Linked DNA regions of Ovis aries. The protein of the gene in region 6 purifies or fractionates together with the protein of the main gene of each other region. This does not show direct contact. Links are inferred from orthologs where the notes say so. Each region holds a gene or a part of one and is shown on either strand. Other genes may lie near its edges.

What was found.
Region 1: the proteins of KBTBD7 (region 6) and FBXL17 purify together in Homo sapiens (co-immunoprecipitation; 3 studies listed by BioGRID and IntAct, counting the BioPlex papers as one, with this or other methods). This does not show direct contact. The link is inferred for Ovis aries from reciprocal best matches to the Homo sapiens genes KBTBD7 and FBXL17.
Region 2: the proteins of KBTBD7 (region 6) and TEFM purify together in Homo sapiens (co-immunoprecipitation; 5 studies listed by BioGRID and IntAct, counting the BioPlex papers as one, with this or other methods). This does not show direct contact. The link is inferred for Ovis aries from reciprocal best matches to the Homo sapiens genes KBTBD7 and TEFM.
Region 3: the proteins of KBTBD7 (region 6) and TJP2 purify together in Homo sapiens (co-immunoprecipitation; 4 studies listed by BioGRID and IntAct, with this or other methods). This does not show direct contact. The link is inferred for Ovis aries from reciprocal best matches to the Homo sapiens genes KBTBD7 and TJP2.
Region 4: the proteins of KBTBD7 (region 6) and NSUN4 purify together in Homo sapiens (co-immunoprecipitation; 5 studies listed by BioGRID and IntAct, counting the BioPlex papers as one, with this or other methods). This does not show direct contact. The link is inferred for Ovis aries from reciprocal best matches to the Homo sapiens genes KBTBD7 and NSUN4.
Region 5: the proteins of KBTBD7 (region 6) and MRM2 purify together in Homo sapiens (co-immunoprecipitation; 3 studies listed by BioGRID and IntAct, counting the BioPlex papers as one, with this or other methods). This does not show direct contact. The link is inferred for Ovis aries from reciprocal best matches to the Homo sapiens genes KBTBD7 and MRM2.
Region 7: the proteins of KBTBD7 (region 6) and VANGL1 purify together in Homo sapiens (co-immunoprecipitation; 4 studies listed by BioGRID and IntAct, with this or other methods). This does not show direct contact. The link is inferred for Ovis aries from reciprocal best matches to the Homo sapiens genes KBTBD7 and VANGL1.

The regions. Positions count from the first base shown.
Region 1 is NC_056058.1:104,498,182-104,501,681, forward strand, and holds part of FBXL17 (F-box/LRR-repeat protein 17), read right to left. Parts: intron 2,585-3,500; coding exon 2,442-2,584; intron 1-2,441. UniProt on the Homo sapiens protein: Substrate-recognition component of the SCF(FBXL17) E3 ubiquitin ligase complex, a key component of a quality control pathway required to ensure functional dimerization of BTB domain-containing proteins (dimerization quality control, DQC).
Region 2 is NC_056064.1:17,804,389-17,808,546, reverse strand, and holds the start of TEFM (transcription elongation factor, mitochondrial), read right to left. Parts: upstream 2,801-4,158; 5' UTR 2,775-2,800; coding exon 2,744-2,774; intron 1,864-2,743; coding exon 1,400-1,863; intron 319-1,399; coding exon 169-318; intron 1-168. UniProt on the Homo sapiens protein: Transcription elongation factor which increases mitochondrial RNA polymerase processivity. Regulates transcription of the mitochondrial genome, including genes important for the oxidative phosphorylation machinery.
Region 3 is NC_056055.1:67,439,196-67,442,695, reverse strand, and holds part of TJP2 (tight junction protein ZO-2), read left to right. Parts: intron 1-1,240; coding exon 1,241-1,307; intron 1,308-2,123; coding exon 2,124-2,274; intron 2,275-3,500. UniProt on the Homo sapiens protein: Plays a role in tight junctions and adherens junctions. Acts as a positive regulator of RANKL-induced osteoclast differentiation, potentially via mediating downstream transcriptional activity.
Region 4 is NC_056054.1:20,917,419-20,920,918, reverse strand, and holds part of NSUN4 (5-methylcytosine rRNA methyltransferase NSUN4), read right to left. Parts: intron 478-3,500; coding exon 323-477; intron 1-322. UniProt on the Homo sapiens protein: Mitochondrial RNA cytosine C(5)-methyltransferase that methylates cytosine to 5-methylcytosine (m5C) in various RNAs, such as rRNAs, mRNAs and some long non-coding RNAs (lncRNAs).
Region 5 is NC_056077.1:41,355,697-41,359,797, reverse strand, and holds the start of MRM2 (rRNA methyltransferase 2, mitochondrial), read right to left. Parts: upstream 2,801-4,101; 5' UTR 2,762-2,800; coding exon 2,754-2,761; intron 2,555-2,753; exon of another isoform or gene 1,970-2,554; intron 806-1,969; coding exon 516-805; exon of another isoform or gene 1-515. UniProt on the Homo sapiens protein: S-adenosyl-L-methionine-dependent 2'-O-ribose methyltransferase that catalyzes the formation of 2'-O-methyluridine at position 1369 (Um1369) in the 16S mitochondrial large subunit ribosomal RNA (mtLSU rRNA), a universally conserved modification in the peptidyl transferase domain of the mtLSU rRNA.
Region 6 is NC_056063.1:11,789,708-11,793,979, reverse strand, and holds the start of KBTBD7 (kelch repeat and BTB domain-containing protein 7), read left to right. Parts: upstream 1-1,472; 5' UTR 1,473-1,752; coding exon 1,753-3,795; 3' UTR 3,796-4,272. UniProt on the Homo sapiens protein: As part of the CUL3(KBTBD6/7) E3 ubiquitin ligase complex functions as a substrate adapter for the RAC1 guanine exchange factor (GEF) TIAM1, mediating its 'Lys-48' ubiquitination and proteasomal degradation.
Region 7 is NC_056054.1:93,020,666-93,024,165, reverse strand, and holds part of VANGL1 (vang-like protein 1), read right to left. Parts: intron 539-3,500; coding exon 278-538; 3' UTR 1-277.

The DNA.
Region 1 (3,500 bases), on a different chromosome or scaffold from region 6:
AATACATCTGAAAGGATCTTCTTAACTAACTGGAGTACCAAATTCAGCTCCAAAGAGGGTGCTGATCTCAACAGGTCTAGAGTCTGGACTAGAAACACGGTGGCCTCCGCCAGAGGCTGTGGGCGCAGGGACCCAGCTGTGAATGGCTGTGGGCGCAGGGACCCGGCTGTGAATGGCTGTGGGCGCAGGGGCCCGGCTGTGAATGGCTGTGGGCGCAGGGGCCCGGCTGGGAATGGCTGTGGGCGCAGGGACCCGGCTGTGAATGGCTGTGGGCGCAGGGGCCCGGCTGTGAATGGCTGTGGGCGCAGGGGCCCGGCTGGGAATGGCTGTGGGCGCAGGGGCCCGGCTGGGAATGGCTGTGGGCGCAGGGACCCGGCTGTGAATGGCTGTGGGCGCAGGGGCCCGGCTGGGAATGGCTGTGGGCGCAGGGACCCGGCTGTGAATGGCTGTGGGCGCAGGGACCCGGCTGTGAATGGCTGTGGGCGCAGGGGCCCGGCTGGGAATGGCTGTGGGCGCAGGGGCCCGGCTGGGAATGGCTGTGGGCGCAGGGGCCCGGCTGGGAATGTCTGTGGGTGCAGGGACCCGGCTGTGAATGGCTGTGGGCGCAGGGACCCGGCTGTGAATGGCTGTGGGCGCAGGGGCCCGGCTGGGAATGGCTGTGGGCGCAGGGGCCCGGCTGGGAATGGCTGTGGGCGCAGGGACCCGGCTGTGAATGGCTGTGGGCGCAGGGACCCGGCTGTGAATGGCTGTGGGCGCAGGGGCCCGGCTGGGAATGGCTGTGGGCGCAGGGGCCCGGCTGTGAATGGCTGTGGGCGCAGGGGCCCGGCTGGGAATGGCTGTGGGCGCAGGGGCCCGGCTGTGAATGGCTGTGGGCGCAGGGACCCGGCTGTGAATGGCTGTGGGCGCAGGGGCCCGGCTGGGAATGTCTGTGGGTGCAGGGGCCCGGCTGGGAATGTCTGTGGGCGCAGGGACCCGGCTGTGAATGGCTGTGGGCGCAGGGGCCCGGCTGTGAATGCTCACCTCTTCCTGCCCTTGCGCAGGCAGTTTGTGCGCAGCGATTCCTTCGGGCAGAAGCCGAAGAGTTCTGCTGTCACTGTTCGGGGTTTCTAGAACACTCTGCCTGCTATGGACTCTCACTTGTTTTAAAAGGAATCATTTCGAAGTGACAGGGTTAGTAGCAGTGTTAAGTTAGTTAGTGGTGAAATTTAAGAGAGACTTGCCACCCCGGGCTCTCCGCTGTTGCTCAGTAATAAACTCAGTCAGCTTTCTAGGCTGGGCTGAGTATATAAAGTCTCTCTAATCATGACTAACTGGAAAGGTCTGGTATAAGCTGGGATTGTAAAACATCTGGAAAAAAGAACTAGGTCAATTAACAAAACTGACAAAGCGCACAGAGAATTTGGGCCATTCTTATTTGTCCCCAATTTGCTACATTTAGAAACTGCATGTCCTTTGAGAGGCATATATATTTAGCTTCAGGCTCTTTTGCTACATTGTGCCTAATCACCAATCACAAAAAGCAGCACACGTGTATAAATTGTTACAAGCTGCCAACATTTTCAGAGCGAGTAGCTGAGGTGGGTCTTTTCCAAGGAAGCACCCCCTTCTCTGGAGACAGTCCCTGCGGTGGGCCCTGGGCACTGGCCATAGGCTTGAAGATCTGGGGTGCCACCCTGGATGGGGGGCATGGGGCCAGTGTCTGGTCCTTCTGAGCTCCGTTTTCTCCCCTTCGCAGCACAGACCATCTCCTAGATTTGTTACCAGGAAAACGTAAAAGAGACAAAGGGGAAAGTGCGTCTCCAATGCCTGGTTATCAGTGCAGCTTCTGATCATCTTTATTAAACGCAGCCCGACTTCTCAAACTCAGGCTCATGCCTCTGGCCAGCTCCACTGACCATCGGTGGGGCCTCTGGGACCGCTTCTCGACATGTGTGAAAAGCAGCATCTGCAGTGTGGGGATTCCCAACTAATGTTGCCTCACTGGCCCTTTCTTGCCCCCCTGAGGGGCAGAACACAAAGACGCTGAGCAGTGAGCACTTCAGACTGCGGCAGCATCATCTGGCAGCGGGCCTTCCAACTTACTGCTGCAGGAAACTTGGAACCTGAGTGGAATTTCACTGTTAAGCCACACGCACTGCAGTGTGCCACGCAAACACACTTAATCGTGGTCCGTGGACTTGCGGACAGGAAGCCAAAATCTAAGTTAAGTGTGTGTGTGACTGCTGTTTTCTTTCTGCATAAGCACAAACATTCATTTTTAAACAGAGATATTCAAAAATCATCTCAGATTAGTTTAGAAAACCAGGCAGCTTCCCATGCATACCTGTAATAACATAAGTACGTGCATGTGTACATATATATACCCAGGTAGTGAAGAAAAATCTAATATCAAGCTGTAAACGACACGGATACGTAGGAAAGAAGGTCGACAGGCAACTCACTTTATCACATCTCATCAGCCCCAAGTATCTTAAAGACTTGCTGCTCTGTGCAATCAGGGTGGCCCCTTGGTCCGTGATCTCTTTGCACCAGCCGACGTCCACAGTCTCTATTGTCATGCTGTATCGCCCGATGGCTATCAGAGCTGCGAGGGGAGGCAGAGAAGACAGGAAGCACAAACGTCAGCAGCGGAAGGGATCTCTATCTTATTATGAGTAGTTCTCTCATTTCCTCACTACATTTGTTCCTGAAATGTTGTGTATAAACGAATGTTTCCTAAATGTAATCCAATTTAAAATGCTTTAGGAAAGTGTGCCCTATGACAGAGCCTTTCACAAAGTGAATAATCATTCCATAATTTCCCTTTTATTGGAACACAACCTTTTATCAGTTTTATTCATTACAAGGTTACCTGTACTTCCAAACATTCATATCTGTAGAGGGCATAAACTCAAATGAATTACGCATATAATATTACAGGAAACCCCCAAGGAGTAATTAAATTTTATCCAAGATAAATTTAATAATTTTAAAAAAGAAAAACCTTCGAAACACCATTTTGAGGTGTGTTATTCTGCATATGAATTTCTTTACCAATTGGCACACTTTCCCCCCATCTGTTCATGATCTATAAAATGTAAGAGCATATAACATCTTTCACATTAGTCCTTCTTGAGACAGCTGGGAATTCAGAGGACATTATACACACAGTTGAATTTAGCTGGCGCTAGCATTTGTTATGGTGGATGTCCGCACTGTATCGGAAGTCTTCCTCTTATTGACACAGGGGATGAAGCCGGTCACACAAACACTACCCCTGCCCCTAGTCTGCTTGGCTGTTCAGCCCTGTACCTCTACGGACGCACAGAGGTTTATCCCACAGTCTGTGATGTACACCACACATCACTGCAGGGCTCCATAACCTGTCACCCCGTCAGAGCATCCAGTCGGCGAATGTGGCTCTTGGCTACAGGCTTCTAGTGAAACACACACACCTCTACGTTTGCAGCACAGCAAAACAGATTTCAAGACCTCCAGCCAGACAACGTTTACGGTGCATT
Region 2 (4,158 bases), on a different chromosome or scaffold from region 6:
GACCCAGCACAGCATTTTAATTAAAAAAACATAAGCGATGGAAAACACAATAGGAACAGGTGAATAGTAAGTACCCAAAGAAAATCCATCCTTAACTATTTCATCCCTTTTAGGACTAAAAGATGAGGAGCTCCAGCAGGTCAGGATTTGGAGGTGCAACTGCCTTACCTCTTCTAAATAGACAGATGATAGGTATGATCCTTTCATCAATTGGCAATATTCGGTTTGCTGCCAGTCCAGCACTGCCAATTTACGATCGAGGTGAGCCCAGGCAAGTCTTCGAGTACCAGAAACAATGGATACTATACTATTAACTGCCTGAAACAAAAAAGCCTGGTTTAATTATAAGTGTGAACATTTTAACAGACACAAGATTTAAGATACAAACTCAGAAATCCAAATTAGTTTATGTGATAGAAATAATATGTACAGTTTATGAACTAAGAATTATTAAAGTAGTTATTATTAAAAAGTAACCAGCAGTAGTCAGTTTATAGGCAGAACTTTTACTTGTTCTCAGCACCTAGCTCAAAGCAGGTGTTCAGATATTCGGATGTTGCTGGGGAATGTGCTAGATACTGGGAAACAAGGGACATGACCCTACATTATAAGAAACACCACCATACAAGTTACACTGTAGAGAGGAGAAATGGTCAGGAAGACTTACTGGAGGACTAGGAGACAGTAAAACGGTAAATGGGAAGTTATTTCACCCAGATGTCTGCAGATATAGGGTGACACCTCTCAAGACAGTGGCATAAAGAATGCAAGTGGCGAAAGGGCAGAGGGGTGGGCAGATTTCTGCAGAAAGTAACTTCCTTTATCCTGAGAGCTACTGGGAGCCACCAAAGCATACAACATTCAGGTGTAACATTTACATTTCATAAGGAACACGGACAGCTGTGTATAAGTGGATGGGCGATGGCTAGACTAGGGAGAAAGATCTGCATCAGGTACCTGTTACACCGCAAAGAATCTTAGTCACAGTGAGAAGCACAAACAGATTAAAAGCAATAGGAGTATAACTGATATGTGGAATAAAGGAAGAAACAAAAACAGGTAACTCAACATTCCTTCTACGTAAGTCCTGCACAGACCTACCTCTCTACATCAATTATCCTTCCTAAAATGCCTTCCTCTTCTACTAGCCTAGCTCTCTCTCCAGGATCCAGGCTGAGTTCTAGTAAACATTCCCCAACACACAGTTCTCTCCACTAAATTGCCAATTTACTATCTGTACATCTCATGTCTTTGAGAATAACTATAAATAGATTATGTGTGTATCCCTGGGTCCACAGGACTAAACTATAATTGCCAGAAGAATCCTGTCTTGGTGCCCAGAATAGTACTTTGTAGGGTGTCAAATATTTAGACAGTAAAAGAGACATTAAGAGTGTACCTTAACTCTCTCTCTTCCTATTTCTGGTTTGATGAGCTTTCTCAAGATCCGACTTTCCTGTAGCTTCTTTTTTTTCCCTCCAGTCTCTGGATTAAGAATGGAGTTACAAACTTGAATGGTGATTTTATAGTGGAACAAGGGCACATTCATTAAACTCTCCAAATTCTGAAATGGTCCAAACTTTTTTCTGTGTTCTATAATATTGAGGGACTTTTTTCCACGAAGCAATTTGAAAGCTTCAAGTTCTTTATTAGATGCTGTATTCAACACATGCAAGATGGAAGCCTGCTGTTCTGAAGAAAAGAGCTTGTCAAATGTCTTTCCAGACTCCTTTGCAGTCTCATCAGAAAAATCAACATGGGGAATGATTTTCTCTGGTGCAGTGGATTCTTTCCGACAGCAGGAATTATGTAGGGCCTGGAATAAGGAGGACCCTAATGGAAGTGGAAAACATCTCCATCTCCCTAAAAGAAAATTTTAGCAAAATTTAAGTTAGACGTTAGTTCCTCTTAGTGTTGTGGCCTAACGAGGGCGATTGCAAAGTGATACGGACTTTCCCATCATTTAAGAACTATCCATAAGAGATATAGTCTGATTTTTGTGGGTAACAAACTTAAATTTTACTACATATAAATCTTACGTCCAACAAGAAGCATGTATTTAAAACGATTATTTCCAACTTTTTAACGTTTTTAAAAATTTTAACCTTAGAGAAATATTTTTGCAATTAACTGATATTTTAAACAATATTTATCTTCACTAGTTTCTTTCTCATCCAGTGGAACCAAATAAAACTACATTTTAGAGAATTCCCTGACGCTGGAGTGGTTGGCGCTGTCACTGCCAGAGCGGGGGATTCAATCGCCAGGCAGGGAACTAAGATCCCGAAAGCTGCACAGAGCGGATAAAACAAAACTAAATTTTACCCGTTTACAAGAAATGTTTTAGCTGAGTGGTAAATTTAAGAGCGGTTTTTATTTTCTTTTGTACTCTTTTCACGATTTCTACCATAAGTCTACAAAGAAGAAAACCCATACAAAGAGCAACTCTGTAAAACCAGGGGAAAGTTTTACATTGCGGCCACAGGACAATAACGCATCCAGAAGTAAGCAAGCAGCTGTCAGACACTGAACCTTCTGCCCTCTGCCCTCAGCTCAGTCCGAGGAGTCCCTCGTGGACCCTTAACCCAGGGAAAGGAATCCCAATAGCTCAGAGGCGACCAGAACCGCCCAGTCTCCCCGGCAGGGTCTCCAAGAGGGAGACCTGGACACGGGACCTGAGAGGGTAAACACGCCAGGCACTAAAAGCATACGGCAGATTCATCCAGTATTTCAGGCACCCTACCTCCCGCCAAGAGGAGACTAGGGACGTTCATCCTCCACGCTAAAGCTCTAGGTTCCTACGGGCCAGTATTCCCCCACGGACTTCCGGTTTCTGCGTGCTTCTCCCAAAAGCGCCCGGCTTCTCAAAGGTTCCGGCGGAAGCGCCGTTCCGGCCCGCCACTAGGGGCTTCCAGCTGGGCTGTGGGCAGTCGCTTCGTAGAGCCTCGACGCAGACTCCGTCGGCGTAGTAGTGCTGGGATCCGGAGCTCACAGCTGCGCCGTAGGTTCGTTCCTCTCCATCCGGAAAACGGCCTCGCCCACTGTGGCCCCTGAAAGCTGCAGAGCCGAATCTCTGGGAAGAGAACGTCTGGGCGGGTTTTAGCTTGTAGTTGGCAAGATCCTTCCTTTGGGGAGCCTCCCTGGGCTTGGATCCAGGCATCTAGATTGGTGAACTCCTGTCTGGGGCGCAAGGAGGAGAGTCTGGCGGGGGAACGTAGGCAGGAACATACATAACCAATACCCCAGGTAGAATGGACTAACTGGGACAGCTGCGAGGTGGTGTTTCAGGAGCCCAGCAAGCTGAAGACAAGCTCCAGGAAGGGAGCCTGAGGAGGAAATGGCTTTAGCGCTGGGCCTCAAAAGTATCCCCTGTGGAAGGGATGGATGCAGATCAGGCTGGCGCCAAAAATGGTTGGTCCTGTCTGGAAACCACCTCGACTTTGTAGAGTCAGACTTGAGGTGTGTTTCTGAAAAACTGACCATACGTTGAAGTGTGAGGCTGGAGTAGAGGTAACAAAGTGTACCTGGAAGCTAGTGTATCCTCAAGGCATAGGCAACCGTCAGGAACTGAACCCGGGCAGTTGTGTGATCTGGTAATGCTGGATGGCTGTTCCTTGCTCTTTGTACACTCACTGCTAGAACAGTCCCCGCTTCACCTGCACCACCCTCACATCATCCCTCCTAGTCATAGAACCTAACGAGTAAATGCCTATGTACTTGCCCCCAGTCCCAGCTAGTGATTTTCCTAATCTATAGCTCAAAACATCTCTACTAGGATAATTTATTAAAGGGGTGGTGAGGGGCATCCTCCTTCCCTGGTTTCCGGGCAACCTGGGGTCATTTCCCCCACACCCAGTGAAGACAGGTTGCCTTGTCCTGCCTGCCACCGTGCAGTGCCTCTCCAGAACCCTTTTGCTTCAGACCCTTATCCACGAAACCACTGATGCCTCTGTTGCTGACTCTGGGCCCCTTCACAAAAGATATGTATATCATACCATCATCATATCATATCAGTTGTATCTGACTCTTTGCAACCTCATGGACTGTTTGCAACCCACCAGGCTCCTCTGTCGATGGGATTTTCCAGGAAAGAAAACTGGAGTGGGTTGCCATGCCCTCTTCCAGGCGATCTTCCCCACCCAGGGATCATCCCCACAC
Region 3 (3,500 bases), on a different chromosome or scaffold from region 6:
AATCATTTTTTTAGAAATAAAGGATACAGCCAGATGGAAGAGATGCCTAGGGCAAGGTATGGGGAGAGGGTGGAGAGGTTTCATGCCCTCACTGGGCAGGTCATCCTGCCAGCACCTCAGTGATTTCATCCATCCTGCAGTGTTCTGAATCCCCTAGTTTTGGGAGGCTTTGTCATGAGCATGACTTCCTCCTCTTGGTTACCAGCCCCAGATTGAGGCTGTCCAGAAGCCTACTAGGAGTCATCTCTTTAGAGCAAAGGATTCTCCTATCACCCAGAAAATTCCAAAGGATGTTGGAGCTCTGTGTCAGAAATTAGGGTTAAAGACCAAATATTAGAGCAAAAGATGCTCTTGGTACCCCTTTCACTCCAGAAACTGTAGGGGTTTTAGGATCTCTGTGTCAGGACCTGGGGGTGGCACAGAGACCAGATACATACTTGTTAATTACGTCACACAGTCGCATTTTGTCAGATTTGATTAAAGTCCTCTTATGTCCCATTTCTTTATTTCAGAAATAATTTTATGTATTTATTTTTGGCTGTGCTGGGGCTTTCCTCTTGTGGTAGTGCATGGCTTCGTTGCTGTGAGGGCTTGTCTCTTGCTGCAGTGCACGGCTTCTCATTGAAGTAGCTTCCCTTACGGCAGAGCACAGACTCTAAGGCACATTGACTTGGTGGTTGTGGCTCCCAGGCTCTAGAGCGCAGGCCCAGTACTTGTGGCACGTGAGCTCAGCTGAGCCGTGGCATGTGGGATCTTCCCGGATCAGGGATGGAGCCTGTGTCTCCTGAATTGGGAGATGGATTCTTCACCACTGAGCCACCAGGGAAGCCCCTGTGTCCCATTTCTGATCTCAACTGCATCCCCTACCCCCCACCACAATAAAATTAGTATCATAATTTAAATGCATAAATATTTACCCATGGAAAAAGCAGCATTGCTACATGACTTTTAAATTATTTTAAAATGCTACCATTTTGTAAATGTGATTATGCACCTTGCATTTTTAAGTTTCATTTTCCTTCTCACTTGTTTTTGAGAAACTACTGACATCTGCTAGTGCTTCAAAATTTAACTTTTAAGACATTTTTCATTTGATGTGATGACGTATATGTAGCATAAGGAACAGACTTGAATTTTTTGTGGATTTTGTGATCTTCATATTTAGAGACAAAACCTGTTTGTCTTGGTTGCTAATGATTTTTTTTTTATTTTATAACTAGTGATGTTTTTTAATCCACAGTTCCTCCACCAAAACCAGCCCCAAGAGCTGTTCTTCATCCAAGTCCTGAAGATTTAGCAATATATGGGTAGGCATCTCTTCCTGTTCCCCTTTCTTCCTCCACACAGCTCTGTCACTTAACTTAAATCTGGAAAAATGGTGTTCTTAAACACCATTAAATGGTGATGATTTTGTATATAATCAGCTGCCTTTAACCCATCTCTATTGCTAGTATTTTTAAGAAAGAGAAATCATTCGTAGGAAGAGTAAAATGGGGAAGTAAGTGAGTGTTCACTTTGCCTGCTTGTCTGCTTAGCTGGCTAGTGTTCCGATGTTATTCTGAATAGTTGAGTTTGCCAGATCAAGAATGCCCAGATGGGTGAAGAACTGCTTAACTCTGGTGCCTCTGTAGGGGCTGTAGTGACAGGAGGCCCTGGTGTGTGGAGGGAGGGGGGAAGTGATGCAGGGCTCTGCACTTGACAGAGAACCCCTGGTTCCGTGGTATTCCATGGGTTAGGAACCTGCCCCCCTGGACTTAGGCTGTCTCCATTTGACAGGAGCCCTGTGGGATCAGCAGGATTTTCTTAGGAAGAATCCTGAAGTAGGAATCAGATGGCCTTGAATTTTTACCCCAACCCTGCCCATTATTTGCTTTTTGTCTTAAATGAGTTTACTTAGACATTCTCTCTATTTCTGTTCTTCACTGGTAAAGTGGCCTCCTGATATTCATCTCACAGCCCCAAGGAAGATAAAATTATAGATTATATAAGAAAGAGTTTATAAAGGGTAAATCACTCTATAGATAGAAGAAATTAAATCTCTCACTGCTAATGTTGATTCTCCTTTACCGAAAAAAAATAAGAAAACCTCCCATCTTTCTTTACTGAAACTGAACCCATTGCAGCCCCAACACCAAAATGGTGAGGTTCAAGAAGGGAGACAGTGTGGGCCTCCGGCTGGCTGGTGGCAATGACGTTGGGCTATTTGTGGCCGGCATTCAAGAGGGTACCTCCGCGGAGCAAGAAGGTCTTCAAGAAGGGGACCAGATTCTGAAGGTATGAGATCCCAGCCCTGTTTGTAGGTGTTACTGGGAAAGAGTAGGGTTTCCTGGAGGGTCTTACGTAAAGGATGAAGAAGTGGTCCCGCTGGTGAAAACAGACCAGCTGCAGGCTTGTTGCTGCTGAGCATCAGGTCTCCGTTTCGTTCCAGTGGACCCTGTCTCCTCAGTCCTGGAACCCAAAACCCATCCTTATGGGAACTTACAGCGTTCAGAACCCTCACAAAGATTTTTATTAGTTTGATTCACAGGACAGTTGAGACTTTCACTGAAGGCCTAGGGGGAAGATCTTTCTGGTGGTTTTTGGCCCATTCTCCTGCGTGGTTATCACTCTGCAGGCCATGCGCTGTAACTGAGCAGAGGTGAATGTTGCCATCAGATCGTCTGATTTGAATCCTGTCCCAGCTTCATATTAGTTTGTGGCCTTGGCTCCAGCTCTGAGACTCAGGTTTCTGTATCTGTTCAATGTGGATAAGCATACCTGCCTCGCAGGGATCCTGGGAAAGTTAGAACAGATGATACAAGAATTCAGCAGAGTTCTTAGCACAGAGGAGGAGGGTCAGAGTCCGTTCTTTTTCCCAGTGAAAAATAACAAGTTGCTGCCACTCTGTGTCACTTACGTCTAAAATTGTTCAGGAAGGGGAACACCTGGTTAACCAAATATTGATACTTTTAAAGCTACTGTATATGTGTTTGTATAATCTGTTGGTTTAAAAACAACTGATAAGCAAGTCCTGCTTTGACATTTTATGAAAAACATACCATGTGTTTTCTGTTGACTTGAGTGTTCACTTCAAGCATGCTGAGTACATTGTGACTATAAAAATATATAATGCTCGGGAATTGTCTTCACTGGAATTTCTGCTTCTGTAAACTTGCTTTTCTTATCATGAATTCCTAGGGGATCTGGTAAGAAGAGCATCTAACCTCAAAGGAGATGGGGAGAAAAGCAGAATTCCCAAGGCAGCAGGCAGCAGAGCCCTTCCTGGCCTGTGGCCTCATGGTGGTAGTTCAGATTTCATTTCCAGAGCAGATGAAGGGCAGACCTTGACCACGAGGTTCTCTGAAGCTTTGCAGTGACATTCTAGATCCTCTTTGGCTCTAGCCAGGATCCTGGAAGACAAAGTGTACCTGAGTGAACCTCAGGGTACCACATGAGCCTAGGAAACACTGCTTACCAAGTGCTACCAATAAGAGCCCCATTCGAGTGCCAGCTCATACCAG
Region 4 (3,500 bases), on a different chromosome or scaffold from region 6:
AGTGTCATGTGGTAGACTAATCAGGGCTTTGCTTTAATCTGCTTTCAAAGACCTTGCTCTTGCTCTGCAGTCTTCCTTGGCCACCTGACAGAGAAAGAGAGGAAGTCACTTCGAACAGAACAAACACACCAGCTTAGCAAGTACTACCCTACCTGACCTGGACCAAAGAGCTCAGCATCTTCAGTGAGCCCCTGACTGGGGGAGGGAGGGGGAGGGAGGGGGAGGGAGGGGGAGGGAGGGGGAGGGAGGGGGAGGGAGGGGGAGGGAGGGGGAGGGAGGGGGAGGGAGCCCTCCCTGCTCAAGACACAGCCCTCTGACTTACGGCAACAGCCCGTCTGAAGCAACGCTAATGTCTTTCCCCCAGGGGCTGCACACAGGTCAAGCACAGTGTCCCCAGGCTGTAGGCCAAGGGCCAGGACAGGCAGCAAGGACGCGGCATCCATCAGGTAGTAGTCCATGAGACCCAGGCTGCCAAGCCTAGAAGAGAAGAGACCACCTTAAAGTGAAAGGCCAAGTCAGGAGACCCACCGGAAGTCAAGGTCTCAAGTCCAAAAAAACTCATTTCTCCGACCCACCCTCAGTTATGCACTCACTCACTCATTCATCCACACAGCAGCCAGAGCAGCCTTTTAAAACAGAAATCAACTCACTGGATTCCAGCCGCACTACTCATCTTGCTATCCCTTAATTAAGCCACGCATACTCCTGTTTTGTAGTTGTTCTGCTTTCTGCATGCAGCATACTTCCTCCAAATATATTTGCTTCCTCATTTGCTTCCTCACTTCTTTCAGGTCCTCCGTGAAAGTTACCTCACCAAAGAGGCACTGGTATGCCCTGACCACTCTATCTGAAAATAGCAGCCCCCTACTCCCATCTATCTTTAAAGTATTTATTATTCACTTTGTAAGTATAAGGGTATGTGTGTGTGTGTGTCTATTTTTCTCCTTCTCTCTCTCCCTATTAGAGTGAAGGTAGAGACTTTGTCTTGCTTTGTTCATTATAACATCTCCAACACCTGAAACAGTGAATGGCGTGTGGTAGGAACTCAGTTTTATTAGGTTACATATTGAGATACCAAGTTCTTTCTGGGTTCAGAAAAGGATGCCATCCATTGTGACTGTCAGAGTTAAAATTATCTGACTTAGGTTTGGAGGAAGGAATGGACTTTCATTAGGTTAAAAAAAGGGAGCAGGGTGGGGAAGAGGCGCATTCTGAGCAGAAGAAAACAAAAACACCAAAGGCACAGAACCAAACACATAGCTTCTTTCAGACACAGTGAGAAATCTGGTGTGTCAGAAATACAAGGATTTCCAACCAGTCCATCCTAAAGGAGATCAGTCCTGGGTGTTCATTGGAAGGACTGATGTTGAAGCTGAAACTGCAATATTTTGGCCACCTGATGCAAAGAACTGACTCATTGGAAAAGACCCTGATGCTGGGAAAGATTGAGGGCAGGAGGAGAAGGGGACGACAGAGGATGAGATGGTACATGAGATTGAAGTTCAGTTCAGTTCAGTCGCTCAGTCGTGTCCAATTCTTTGCAACCCCAAGAATCGCAGCACGCCAGGCCTCCCTGTCCATCACCAACTCCCGGAGTTCACTCAAACTCATGTCCATCGAGTCAGTGATGCCATCCAGCCATCTCATTCTCTGTCCCCTTTTCCTCCTGCCCCCAATCCCTCCCAGCATCAGAGTCTTTTCCAATGAGTCAACTCTTCGCATGAGGTGGCCAAAGTACTGGAGTTTCAGCTTTAGCATCAGTCCTTCCAATGAACACCCAGGACTGATCTCCTTTAGGATGGACTGGTTGGATCTCCTTGCAGTCCAAGGGACTCTCAAGAGTCTTCTCCAACACCACAGTTCAAAAGCATCAATTCTTTGGCCCTCAGCCTTCTTTATGGTCCAACTCTCAAATTCATACATGACCACTGGAAAAACCATAGCCTTGACTAGACGTACCTTTGTTGGGAAAGTAATATCTCTGCTTTTGAATATGCTATCTAGGTTGGTCATACCTTTCCTTCCAAGGAGTAAGCATCTTTTAACTTCATGGCTGCAATCACCATCTGTGGTGATTTTGGAGCCCAAGAAAATAAAGTCCATCACTGTTTCCACTGTTTCCCCATCTACTTGCCATGAAGTGAGAGGACCAGATTGAAGTTGCAAAGCAGATAGAGGCCAAGGTTGTAACAGATATTAAGTTTGGACTATAACCTGTAGGCAGTTACCAAAAATTTGTAAAGAAAATCACATGATTAGCTAGTGAGAGTTTTAGAAAGCTAGGTAGGCTAGAAAGAACAAATTAGAAACAGAGACACCAGTGAGAAGGCTGTTAGGAGAGTCCAAGTGAGAGCTAATGACACACAGATAGAGGCAGCAATCATTAGGGCAGAGGGGGATGCCAACAACATGATAGTCACAGAAGGACACCTCACTCGCAGCTGTCATACGGGCAACTGCAGGGCAGTCACTCAGCCTGAGACACAGCTCAGCAAGGACAGCCTTTGGGGACAGTCTCAAGGAGACAGAAAACTTGGTCCTTGCTGTCCTGACAGGAAGGCTGTGGGAGAAAGATGGGATAAGACACAAGACATAGTACTACTGAGGATCAGCTACAAGAGCTACCATCCTTTCACACTTGAATTGTCTGTGAAACTGTGTGCCTTGTAGCTGACAAAGGAGAAAGACAAATCAGAGAAAAATAAACAATTGCTATCATAGCTGTACTGGCTCACAAAAACCCATTCTTACCAAGTTCCTTCCTTTTATTAATTTATTTTTTTTAAGTTCCTTTCTTTAAGAAGCATTACTCAACCTTTTTTTTTGCGGGGGGCAGTTCATAGTTTTGAGAATCAGTTAAAAGTTACAATATCTCTTTTCAAAAAAAAGGCACAGTATTCTTATGGCTGATTCACATTGTTGTATGGCAGCAACCAACACAACACTGTAAAGCAAATATCCTGCAATTAAAATTTTAAAAAGAAAGTAAAACAACTTTTCAATTTCAGGAGGTTCCTGGACTCTGTGAATACATTTTTGAACTTTCCAGAGGTTAAGATCCCCTTGATTTACAGGGAATCCATCAAGACAAGAAGGAAAAGATTCAAATATAGAGATCTGCTTTCCCCCTACTCTCAGGGTGTCCTCAGGCAACTTAAAAAACAACATGGTCTTACTCCATGGATTTGCCTAAAGCCAGGGCCTCCAAATCGGCCTCTAACCCTGCTCCAATCTATGCCCTCCTCACTGTGACTAAAACGATCTTCCTGAAACACACCTTTGATGGCAATAACATCAATAGTAACAGATACTATGTATGAGTGTTATATTGCAGGGACTATACTTGGTTTTTAATATGCATCATTTGATTTAATTCTTACTACAACCCTATGAGGCAGGAGAACTCAGATTCTAGAGCCAGACTACCTGGACCTCAAATCCAGCCCACCTGCTCATCAGTTGTATGACCTTTAGCAAATCAGTCAACTTCTCTGTACCTC
Region 5 (4,101 bases), on a different chromosome or scaffold from region 6:
TAGTTAAAACCCCCAAATATTATAAGAGATAAGCACTAAGTCTCTCAAGTTGGGCCAAAGTGGAGCGTCCAGAGCCACGAGGGCTGCCTGGGCAGCCCCAGGAGCAACTCCAGGAAACCCCAGGCTGATTCCGTTGTCCTGCCAAGGGAGGATGTCAAGGGAGGAAATCGCAGAGCGCTTTCTCTGCTGAGGAAAGAAACCTGACTTACAGACGGCCGTCTGAGCTCATTGCTGAGGCCAGGCATCAGCAGCAGAGGCCAAGGACGCCCACCACGTCTGCCTACGCGCTTCTGCGCTGTGGTCGCAGGTGACCTTCACCTTCCTTCCCCCTTCCTACCTCCCTCTTTCATTCTGAACATGCCAGTGTTTGGTTTGTGTCATTCCTACTAAACCAGCACGCAGAAGCACCTGCTTTCTCAAAGCAGCCTGGCTGCCCCGTGTGCCCTGAAGAGGGCGGCCGGCCTGCGTCTCAACCACAGTGGTCGGAAGGCCCCGAGACAATGCGGAGGCCCCACCTGTGCCCGCAGCGTTGACTCTCTGCACGGCCACCTGGCTCCACGCGCCAGGAGCAGCCCCACAGTCTAACACCCGGAGGCCGGGCCGTAGGATCTGGTGCCTCTCATTCATTTCCAGGAGCTTGAAGGCACTTCGACATCGGTAACTTTCCACCTTCGCAGCCTTCACAAACGGGTCCCTCAAATGCCGCGTCAGCCACAGGTGCTCAGCGCCAGTCCGGCTCTTGTAGCGACTCCCAGCGGCGGGGAACCTTTGACGCTGAAGGGAAGCCCACACCAGTTTCAAGGACCTGGTGAGGAAAAGGGAGCAAGCAGGTTGGCATCACATAGGCCAGTGGGGCCCCAGGCTCAACCCGCACATTTTTAGAGCTGGGTCACTACGGCCCAAGCAGGAGAGGCGACTTGACAAGGCTACCGCCGCAAAGGTGTTACGGGCTGAACCACATCCCCCGAGTCTGCAGGTGTGCTCAGTCATCCGACTCCGAGACCCCGTGGACCACAGCCCGCCAGGCTCCTCTGTCCACGGAATTCTCCAGGCAGGAACACTGGAGTGGGTTGCCATTTCCTTCTCCAGGGGCTCTTCCCAACCCAGAGATCCAACCCTGTCTCATATCTCCAGCATTGGCAGGTGGACTCTGTACCACCAGCACCACATAGGAAGCCCAAAGTCTACATGGTAAACTCCTAACCCCCAGTACCTCAAGATGTGACTGGTCTTTAATGAGGTAATTAAGGTAAAGTCCTGTGTGTGTGTGCTAAGACACCTTAGTCGTGTCTAACTCTCTGCAGCCCTGTGGACTGTAGCCTGTCAGGCTCTTCTGTCCATGGGAATCTCCAGGCAGGAGTCCTGGAGTGTGTTGCCATTTCCTTCTCCAGGGGATCTTCCCGACCCAGGGATTGGACTCTCATTTCTTATGTCTCCTGCACTGGCAGGCAGGTTCTTTAACCACTACCTTAAAGGGTAAATGGGTGGGCTCTATCCAATACTGGTGTCCTTATAAGAAGCAATCAAGACGCAGACACACACAGGACAAAGACCACGGGAAGACACAGGGAGAAGACGGCCGTCTGTAAGTCAAGGAGAGGCTTCAGAGACTAATCCTGCTGACAACTTGATTTCCATTTTCCAGACTGCAGACACTGAGCCAGTAAATGTCTGCTCTCTCAGCCGCCCATCCTGGGGTGCTTGGTTACAGGAGCCTGAGCAAACTAATCCAGCAGGCCTCTCCTCTGTGGTCAGAGATGCTTTTCTCTCCTGAAGTTTTCTTCAGAAGACAATCTCAGAGAGTAATGCTAGTTGCTTTGTGTCAACCAAAGTTTTCCCAATACTGGTTGAAAATATTGATAACCTTCATGAAAGGAACATTCCTTCTCACAGGATACAAATTTTCATTGGGCTCTAAGAAATTTAAACACACACACACACGCGAGGACAGGTCCTTTGCCTTACTTACCTCCACCGCTTTGGCAGGCAGCACAGGCTCTGACCAACCTGTCACATTTCTTGATAAAATTGAACTTACCCCGTGTATTAAATTAGAAGGGCCGTTTTCAAGCCTCTTTGGAAAGTGGGGCTTTTATAGACTGCCATGGGTTATCTATGGGTTATCTCTTTAACTCTCAGAACAACCCTACAAAGTATCTACATTCTTTTCTTCTGACAAAAAGAAAACAAAAAACTATTATTAGTCCCATGGCTCCCAGGCAAAAACATGTTGACAAAGATCTGGAGACAATACTCTTGAACTGCTGCCTTCAAAAGGCGAAAGGCGTCTCTAGAAAGAGGGCGCAGCGGTCCCGGGCGCCGAGGACTGCAGCGGGCAGCGGGCCCGGGTCCAGCCGATGCGGGCAGCTGACCGCCGGGGCCCCCACGACCAGCGGCCGGCCACACGGGGCTCTGGCTTGCGAGACACAGGCTTCAGGCCTGCGGTGCTCCGCGGGCGACACGCACCTCCAGCAGCAGCGCGCCCCCTCTCCCCACCGGCCTCGGCAGCCCTCCGCCCGCCGCCGCTCCTCGGAGCCTTGGCCGGTCCGCTCTCGGCAGGCCTCCGCTCGTCACGTCGCGGGGGCCGCCCGCCCCCTTTCCGGGCCAGGACCAGCCCCTTTCGGACCCGAAAACCGGGGCCGCCGTCTGGCCACTCCGCCTCCCGCACACATGCAGCAGGTGCTCCAGCAATCCCCACTGAGCGCCAGCCGCCGCGCGCACCGCCCTCCCACCTCAGCCGCCTCCCCGCTCACCCCGCCATGGACACGGAACCGCTCCGCCAGCCGCCACCGGAAGCGCTGGCCTCACTTCCGGCCCGAGGCCACGCCCCCGGAAGCGGCGCGTGGGTTCGAAAGGCGCGCGCAGGGCTGGGGCCTGGGTGAGTCCAGGGGCGAGGTCACGGGTGAGTCCGGGGGCGAGGTCACTGGGGAGCAGGGGATGCGGCCGCCGGAGATGGGCCTGGGTCCCGCCGAAAGGCAGCTGGCGGCCGTTCACGGACGGCCAGATACGGGAGCCCGAGCCTGGCGCCCGACGGGTGTAGTCTCTTTAAACCCTGGTCACGGGCCGCAGTGGACCGGTGATCCCGTTCAGAGGGCACTCTGCTGAGAAAGGGGGCCGCCCGGCCCCTGACGTCAAGTGGGCTCTCTGCGGACCCGCCTGACCGTAGTGCCAAGAGCTGTGGCCAACTGTACTTCAACAGCAGGCGGACCCAGGGTTCGGTACTGGCTCTGGAGTTTGACTTTCTGTCAGACTTCGCTTTTCTGAGCGTCTGTCTGCTTGGCCGAAAGCGGAGAAGCCAAGTCTCAGCTCACAGGGTCGTTGGGTCTGTTAACTGGGATACGTTTTGGAAAGTATATGATCGGTGCCTAATAACTGACGGCAGAGATTCCTAATTAATTTAGGAAGTCAGGGCTTTGCGCCTTTACAGGTCAGCAACATCACAAAGTCCGCATGTTAAACAGAGGTTGGACCCAGAGACCCACTTATGCAGGAGCTGCTGGCCAGCACAGGGACCCAGGCCTCGGTCCCTATTCTCGGACACCGTGACTTCCCTGGAGCATCCTTGGTCCCGAATCCTGCATCTCATTCAGTGTGGGCCCCAGACCGGGATGAGGATGGATGGACAGGGAGCAAGGTCCTGGGCCTCCATCATGTCTCCAGCAGTGACCAGACGTCCCCTGCAGGGCCTTCACACACATGCATTCGGGCAGGAGTGGTGTTACAGGCCGAGCACCAGGTCCCGGAGCAGCAATGTTTGTGAGCAGAATGTGAACACCTGTCCCAGCAGGAGAGCTGGCCAGGCCTCGCTGGGGGCTCTCCAGTGTCAGAGCCGTACATTTCCTGGGAATCTGGGGGTCTGGAACCCAGTAGCTAGAAGGCCCCATAATGAAAAGGCCAAGAGCAAAAGCCAGACGCAAGAACCGTTGGGTAAAAGCGTGGTTCATTTCATGCCAGGTGGGCTCAGAGGTGGACACAGGAGCAAGAACAGCCCTGCGCTAAGGAGAGAGGCAGGGACAACCTGGCCATTGCCTGACCTGCATCGGCCCAGCAAGCAAAGGGTCCAGGGCTGCCACCGCTGGGCCGTGGGCCAGGTCTCCATCT
Region 6 (4,272 bases):
GCAAGCTCAGATAGATCAGCAAATTCAAACACGCTTAGATGACTTACAAGCCGCCCTTATGTATGCGGGGGATGATCTGCATGCTTTACAGGTACAATTGAATTGCGGTGTCACTGGAATTTCACTACTTTCTGTTTGCCCAATATGCCCTACAATGCCACTGAATATCCTTGGGAACAAATAAAGTTACATCTTTTAGGTTCAAAATCAAACAGTCTAGATATAGAAAAATTGAAGCAACAAATCACATCTACCTTCAGCAGCATTCCCCCTGTGTTATAGAACACTGACTTCTATAATGCACTATCCACTAGTACCTCCTTTCTAAATCCAAAAAATTGGGTACCCCATACGATGGCTACTTATGCGCTGATCTGTTTATTGTTTGTTATTGTTCTTGTAGGATTCCGAACGTTATGTGCCCGAGTCACCTCCGTCCAAAAAACAGGAGTAACTGTGGCTGCAGCAGTCCTTGCTCTTAAGGAAAAAGGGAGGAGATAAGGAGGAGCTGGAAGGCTTTGAGCAGACATGGAAAATGTATTTGCTCCACTTATGACGAAGGTTGGGAGCTGGAACGAGCATAACGGAGGGTTATGAGCGTGCATCGAGTGCCTGAGGCTGGAAACGGATGACGAAGGGTCAGTACGCCCGGCCTTGAAGCGTTCAAAGGCTTCCTTATGACCACCTGTTTCCTGGGAGCAAGGACTGTTGTTTCACGATAAGACTCCCTTTAGAGTTTTGCCAAAGTCACGTTATGTCTTAGGTGGTGGGAACTGTATTTTATGCTTGAATGCTTTAATGTTTATCTGGAATGGCTACGTGCAAGTCTGCCTTATGCTCTATTCCCTGAGAATTATAAAACTGCGCAGCTGGATAATCAACTTTGTCAGTCCACTAGAGGCTGTCCCTGAATGTTCCTTTCAGAGCGCGGTTCTCCGAGCCTTACAAGAAGCAACAGTAAACACAGTTTTCTTTGTAGAAATTGCTCATGGTTTCGAATAAGTGGATGCCTCATTTTTCATAAATTCTAAATGAAAAGCCAACAGTTACTCAATATTTGCATTTTAGTCACAGTGTAAACAATTATTAATCTAATCAACAAGTATTTATTGAAGCATCCTATGTCCTATGAAATTTAGATCATTCCATTCTCCCAGAATCCTATGAAATACTATTATGCCCAATTTCCAGACAGGGAAAAGTTCTGACAAAAAATTTACACAACTGGTGAATATTAAAACGGGACTTCCACTCTAGACTTCAAACCCACAGCTCTAAACCATCAAATCTGGAATAAACGCTTGCTGATTCTGTTAGTTAAAGCAGTAGACCCCCAGAAGCCTCGCGATATTACTGGAACTACTGATCCCAACATGCACAGCGGCTCCTGTGAGGCGGCCTAAGCCGCAGAGTCCGCGGGGTCCCGGCATGCCTCGAGGCGCGAAAGGCAACCTGGGAGCTGTAGTTCTCCTAGGCACCTACCGGTATTGCCAGCGCGGCGGTGGCGGACCGCTTGGTTCCAGTTTGTAGGTCCTGTGAGGGCGAGCTGAGGCGGAGAAAGGGCGTGGAACTGGAACCGGGTGAGTCAGGCACTGTCTACGCGATAAAGGGAGGCGGCACCGCGGAGCGGGGCTGACTTAAGTCAGCGCGGCAGTCTTTTCAGGGACACAGCGGTCTCGGCGTCAGCGAAAAGAGAGCGAGGAGGCGCCAGAGCCCGGTTCTCGTCCTTCTCTCCCCGCCGCCCTCTTCACCATGCAGTCCCGGGAAGAAGCTCCGCGCTCTCGCCGCCTCGCCAGTCCCCGCGGCGGGAGGCGTCCCAAGAGGATTTCCAAGCCCTCAGTTTCGGCTTTTTTCACGGGCCCGGAGGAGCTGAAGGACACGGGCCATTCTGCAGCCCTGCTGGCCCAGCTCAAGTCTTTCTACGACGCGCGGCTGCTCTGTGATGTGACCATCGAGGTGGTCACCCCCGGCAGCGGGCCTGGCACGGGCCGCCTTTTTTCCTGCAACCGTAACGTGCTGGCGGCCGCGTGTCCCTACTTCAAGAGCATGTTCACCGGCGGCATGTACGAGAGCCATCAGACGAACGTGACCATGCACGACGTGGACGCCGAGTCCTTCGAGGTGCTGGTCGATTACTGCTACACCGGTCGCGTGTCATTAAGTGAGGCCAACGTGCAGCGCCTTTACGCGGCCTCCGACATGCTGCAGCTGGAGTACGTGCGGGAAGCCTGTGCCTCCTTCCTAGCCCGCCGCCTTGACCTGGCCAACTGCACGGCCATCCTCAAGTTCGCCGACGCCTTCGACCATCACAAGCTGCGATCACAGGCCCAGTCCTTTATAGCCCACAACTTCAAGCAGCTCAGCCGAATGGGTTCGATTCGGGAAGAGTCGCTGGCAGATCTGACCCTGGCCCAGCTGCTAGCTGTCCTGCGCCTGGACAGTCTAGACATCGAGAGTGAGCGGACCGTGTGTCACGTGGCGGTGCAGTGGTTGGAGGCGGCTCCCAAGGAGCGGGGTCCCAGCGCTGCAGAAGTCTTCAAGTGTGTCCGCTGGACCCACTTCACTGACGAAGATCGGGGCTACGTGGAAGAGCTGCTGACCAAGCCCATTGTAAAGAAGTACTGTCTGGACCTTGTTGAAGGGGCCCTGCAGATGCGATATGGTGACATGTTGTGCAAGTCCCTGGTGCCCAAGCCAGAGAGCAGCAGCAGTAGCTCTGTTGTGTCCATAGCAGAAAATCCACCCCAGAGGCTGGGTATGTGTGCCAAGGAGATGGTCATCTTCTTTGGCCATCCCAGAGATCCCTTTCTGTGCTATGATCCATACTCGGGGGACATTTACACAATGCCATCACCTTTGACCAGTTTGGCTCACACTAAGACTGTCACCTCTTCAGCTGTCTGTGTCTCTCCAGACCATGACATCTATCTAGCTGCCCAGCCCAGGAAGGATCTCTGGGTGTATAAACCAGCCCAGAATAGTTGGCAGCAACTTGCCGACCGCCTGCTCTGCCGGGAGGGCATGGACGTGGCATACCTCAATGGCTACATCTACATCCTGGGTGGGCGTGACCCCATTACTGGAGTGAAGTTAAAGGAAGTGGAGTGCTACAGTGTTCAGAGGAACCAGTGGGCCTTAGTGGCTCCTGTACCACATTCCTTCTATTCCTTTGAACTCATAGTGGTTCAGAACTATCTTTATGCTGTGAATAGTAAGCGCATGCTCTGCTATGATCCTAGCCATAATATGTGGCTGAACTGTGCTTCTCTTAAACGGAGTGACTTTCAGGAAGCCTGTGTCTTCAATGATGAGATCTACTGCATCTGTGACATCCCAGTCATGAAGGTGTATAACCCAGCCCGGGGAGAATGGAGGCGTATTAGCAATATTCCCCTGGACTCGGAGACCCACAACTACCAGATTGTCAATCATGGCCAAAAGTTGCTCCTCATCACTTCTACAACCCCTCAGTGGAAAAAAAACCGGGTAACTGTGTATGAATATGATACAAGGGAAGACCAGTGGATTAATATAGGGACCATGTTAGGTCTTCTGCAGTTTGACTCTGGCTTTATTTGTCTCTGTGCTCGGGTTTATCCTTCCTGCCTTGAACCTGGTCAGAGTTTCATCACTGAGGAAGATGATGCACGGAGTGAGTCTAGTACTGAATGGGACTTAGATGGGTTCAGTGAACTGGACTCTGAGTCAGGAAGTTCAAGTTCTTTTTCTGATGATGAAGTCTGGGTACAGGTAGCCCCTCAGCGAAATGCACAGGATCAGCAGGGTTCTTTGTAAATATTTTGAAATACTAAGATGTTTCTATTGCTATGAATATATCTTAAAAAGATGTCCTTTCCTTTTTCTGGGGAAAAAAGAAAACTTTGATTAGGATTGCATATTTGGTTTAGAAAGGGTAATGTTTGAGTTGCTAATGTAATGTTATAAAATGTAAACAGTCCATGAAATCAGCTATATAATTTACTGTGCTGAAAGTTGAGATTAAAATATGCCTCCCCCCCCCCAAAAAATGAACCATGTAATTGATTAGAATGCTTGCTGGTTTTTTTTCTGTGTTCAAGAATTTGTTGCACTAGTGAATTGTTTTCATTAATTACACGGTTTATATTTTGATTATCTAATTTAGTCTTCTGTTCATTTTTAAATTCTGTTTAGTGTTGTGGGGGGGAAGTTAGCTTTTTCATTTTTGTGTAGAAAATTGGACTAGAAATTGTTGGCAGGGTTTTGAAGATTTCTATCTTCTGAATAATGAAA
Region 7 (3,500 bases), on a different chromosome or scaffold from region 6:
CAGCTCTGCTTTGGTTTGCAGCTGTCACAGAAAACGCCAGGGAACTGCTTCTGGAGATGGCCCATCCCCAAGTCAGATGTCACCAGTCACTTTCTTCCAGGATGGCCATCTTCTGCTTCCTTCCAAATAAAGTGCAGATGGTCAAAGGACCCTGGTTTCTCATGTGCCAGCTCAGTCAGCCATGAAGAATAATAAAAACAAAGATGCCCCTCTGGTATACATATATATCTCTCTATATATTCTTTCTTTTTTTAATAAAACCACAAATATAGAACTTTTAAACTGACGTCTCAGACTGCAAGCGAAGGACAAATTTGTGAGATTTGGGGTCTATGAACTCTTCCGAGAGCATGATGAACGGAATTTTCTTCACATTGACAACGAGGCTGAAGTCCAAGCATTTAAGGACAAAAACGAGTCCATCCCGCAGCCCGTTGGTCACAGCCTCGTCGCTGACGAGCCGCCACTGCGTGGAGAGCCAGCGCTCCCGGTCGTACTGCAGTGTGGGGCCGGCGCTGAGGTACCGTTCGAGGAAGGCCTGTAAGGACAGCAGAGATGCTGTTAGGGAGGGAATGCCCACTCCAGGTGGCGCTGCCAGGCTCCCAGGCATGGGGGAAAAAACATCCTCCCAACAAACCAGGACAGCCTGGCTGATCATATACCAATTCCATCAGACCTGCACAACAGAGTCCTTTGCTGGGGAGAGAAGGCTTCCTGACTTCCTCACTCTCCAGCCAGAGGGTGCAGACAGTGGTAAGCACAAGGGTGAGGAAGGCGGGGTGCCTGGTACCCACGTAAGCCGTGGCTGAGACACCAGCCCCATCCAAGGGCCCAGGCCCCATGGCATATGCCTTGGCCTGTACCTGTTCATAGGTTGGTCTCCTCCCATCCTGAGAGCTCCTCGGGGCAAGTGCCAGGCACGGAGGAGCATTCTGGTAATGTGACTGGAAGAAATACAGGGATGTACCTGCTCACACAAAAATGCGTGCTCTGCATTCATTGCTATGTGCCTTTGAACAAGCTGTCTAACCTCTGTGAGTGGAGCAGATGGCAGCAGTAATGCACAGAACGGCTGTGAGGACAGGGTGGTTAACCTGAACCATCTCACGGTGCAAAAGAAGGATGGTTATTTGACTAAGGTGTCTCAGGCAGTACTGGAATCAGATGCACATCCGACAGGGAGAAGGGGGTGGGAACATTCAGTGAAAATATCCTTGGGTAAACTCAAGTGATCTTCCCTGGTAGCTCAGATGGTAAAGCGTCTGTCTGCCTACAAAGCAGGAGACCTGGGTTCAATCCCTGGGTTGGGAAGATCTCCTGGAGAAGGAAATGGCAACCCACTCCAGTACTCTTGCCTGGAAAATCTCATGGACAGAGGAACTGGTTAGGCTACAGTCCATGGGGTCGCAAAGAGTCAGACACGACTGAGCGACTTCACTCACTCACGTACATGGTAATCCAAAGGCTGGCCAGGTCCCACATCCACCTCGCCGACCCAAGCCCGAGGCTCCAGGAGTGCTGAGTTCCACGGGTGGGATACTCCCCTTGACATGTGCCGTTCCTCCTGCTGAATGCCGTCCTTTGGAAAATTCCTCCTGGCTCTTTAAATTTTCTCAAACTGCTCGCTGAGCCCCTCAGAGAGGTGAACGTGTCCTCCTGTAAGGGCCTACAATCATGGGCATGACTCCCATGTGACAGTCTACTTTCTGAACAATTACTGCTGACTGCTTGTCTGAGCCCCACACTGAACTATCCTCTCCTGGAGGGCAGGAATTATTTTTTCAATATGAATTTCCCATGTGTCTGGCATATGCTGGAGGCTCAACTGAATGTGTGTTACATCAATAAATATATCGCTTTAGCTGTGAGAAAGAAAAATGAACAAACCAGGGATATAGATAGAAAATATTAGGATGCATCACTCCGGTCCTCTTCATCCATACCTTACTGCTGCCAGATACAATATTTCTACCTATAAGTATATATTCTGAGGCAGAAAGGAGAGCTGTGCTTCTACTATAACACACACTTGTATAAAATTGGCTCTCATATGGGAATTCCCCAGCAGTCCAGTGGTTGGGATGTGGTGCTTTCACTGCCCGCCCCTGGTTCAATCCCTGGTTGGAAAACTAAGATCCCACAGGCTGTGCAGCACGGCCAAAAAAAAAAGCTTTTATGAATCATAAGGAAAAGAATCAGTTAGAGAAATGAAACTAAGAAGATAACTTATAAAATAGAAATAAGATATGCAAAGATACTCTATCACATTAATAGTTAAAGAAAAGTGAAAGTATTAGTTGCTCAGTTGTATCTGACTCTTTGCGACCCCACGGACTGTAACCTGCCAGGCTCCTCTGTCCATGGGATTCTCCAGGCAAGAACACTGGAGTGGATTGCCATGTCCTTCTCCAGGGATCAAACCCAGGTCTTCTGCGTTGCAGGCAGATTCTTTACCATCTTAGCCACCAGGGAAGCCCATAGTTAAAGAAATATGAATTCAAATAGAAAAACAGTATATTTCCCTCCTCTTAGATGCATGTCTGATTCTTTGCAACCCTATGGACTGTAGCCTGTCAGGCTCCACTGTCCATGGGATTCTCCAAGCAAGAATACTGGAGTGGGTTGCCATGCCCTCCTCCAGAGGATCATCCCAACCCAGGGATCAAACCTGCATCTCTTACGTCTCCTGCATCGGCAGGTGGGTTCTTTACCACTAGCACCACCTGGGAAGCATCATGCTCTTAGATGAGCACAATTAAAAAAGAATTATAACGCCCAATGCTGTCAAGTGTGTGCGTGGGGAAATAAATAAACAGTCTCATATCCTATAGGTAGAAATATAAAACAGTAATACCCCTTAGAAGGATAATTTGGCAAGATCTGTACCTTTGATCCAGCTATTCCTCTACTAGATATTGATCCCTCAGAAATACTTGCATATATGAATGAAAACATATGTAAAAAAAGAGAGATTCATTGCAACATTGTTTAGACGTGGGGCTGGCAAACTTTCCTTTAAATGTAAATATTTTTGGCTTCGCAAGGCACATACTGTCATAACTAAACTCAGCTGCAGTAGAGAGAAAGCAGTGGTAGATAATCTGTAAACAAAAGGGTGTGGCTGTGTCCCAGTAAAACTCGATTAACAAAAACCACCAACCCCTAGTTTAGACTAAGGAAAGATCTTAATCCGAATGTGCATTAGTAGGCCATCTGTTAAACAAACCATGGTATTCAGTGGAACAGGACACAGCTATTAAAGGGAATGAGGGAAATCTGTATGACAAGAGATGGGAAAGTACTGACAGAGAAAGACAGCCAAGAACAGCTTTAAGTGAAAAAACCAAGTTTCCAAGCTATACCTATATGGGATGAGATTCCCATTTCCTTTTTTTGTTGTTTTGTTCGTTTCTGCTTTAAGCGCACACACACACCTGAAAGAATATAAACCCATTCTTTATATTAGTAAGAACTGTCTAGGTGGCAGGGATGAAAAGTTC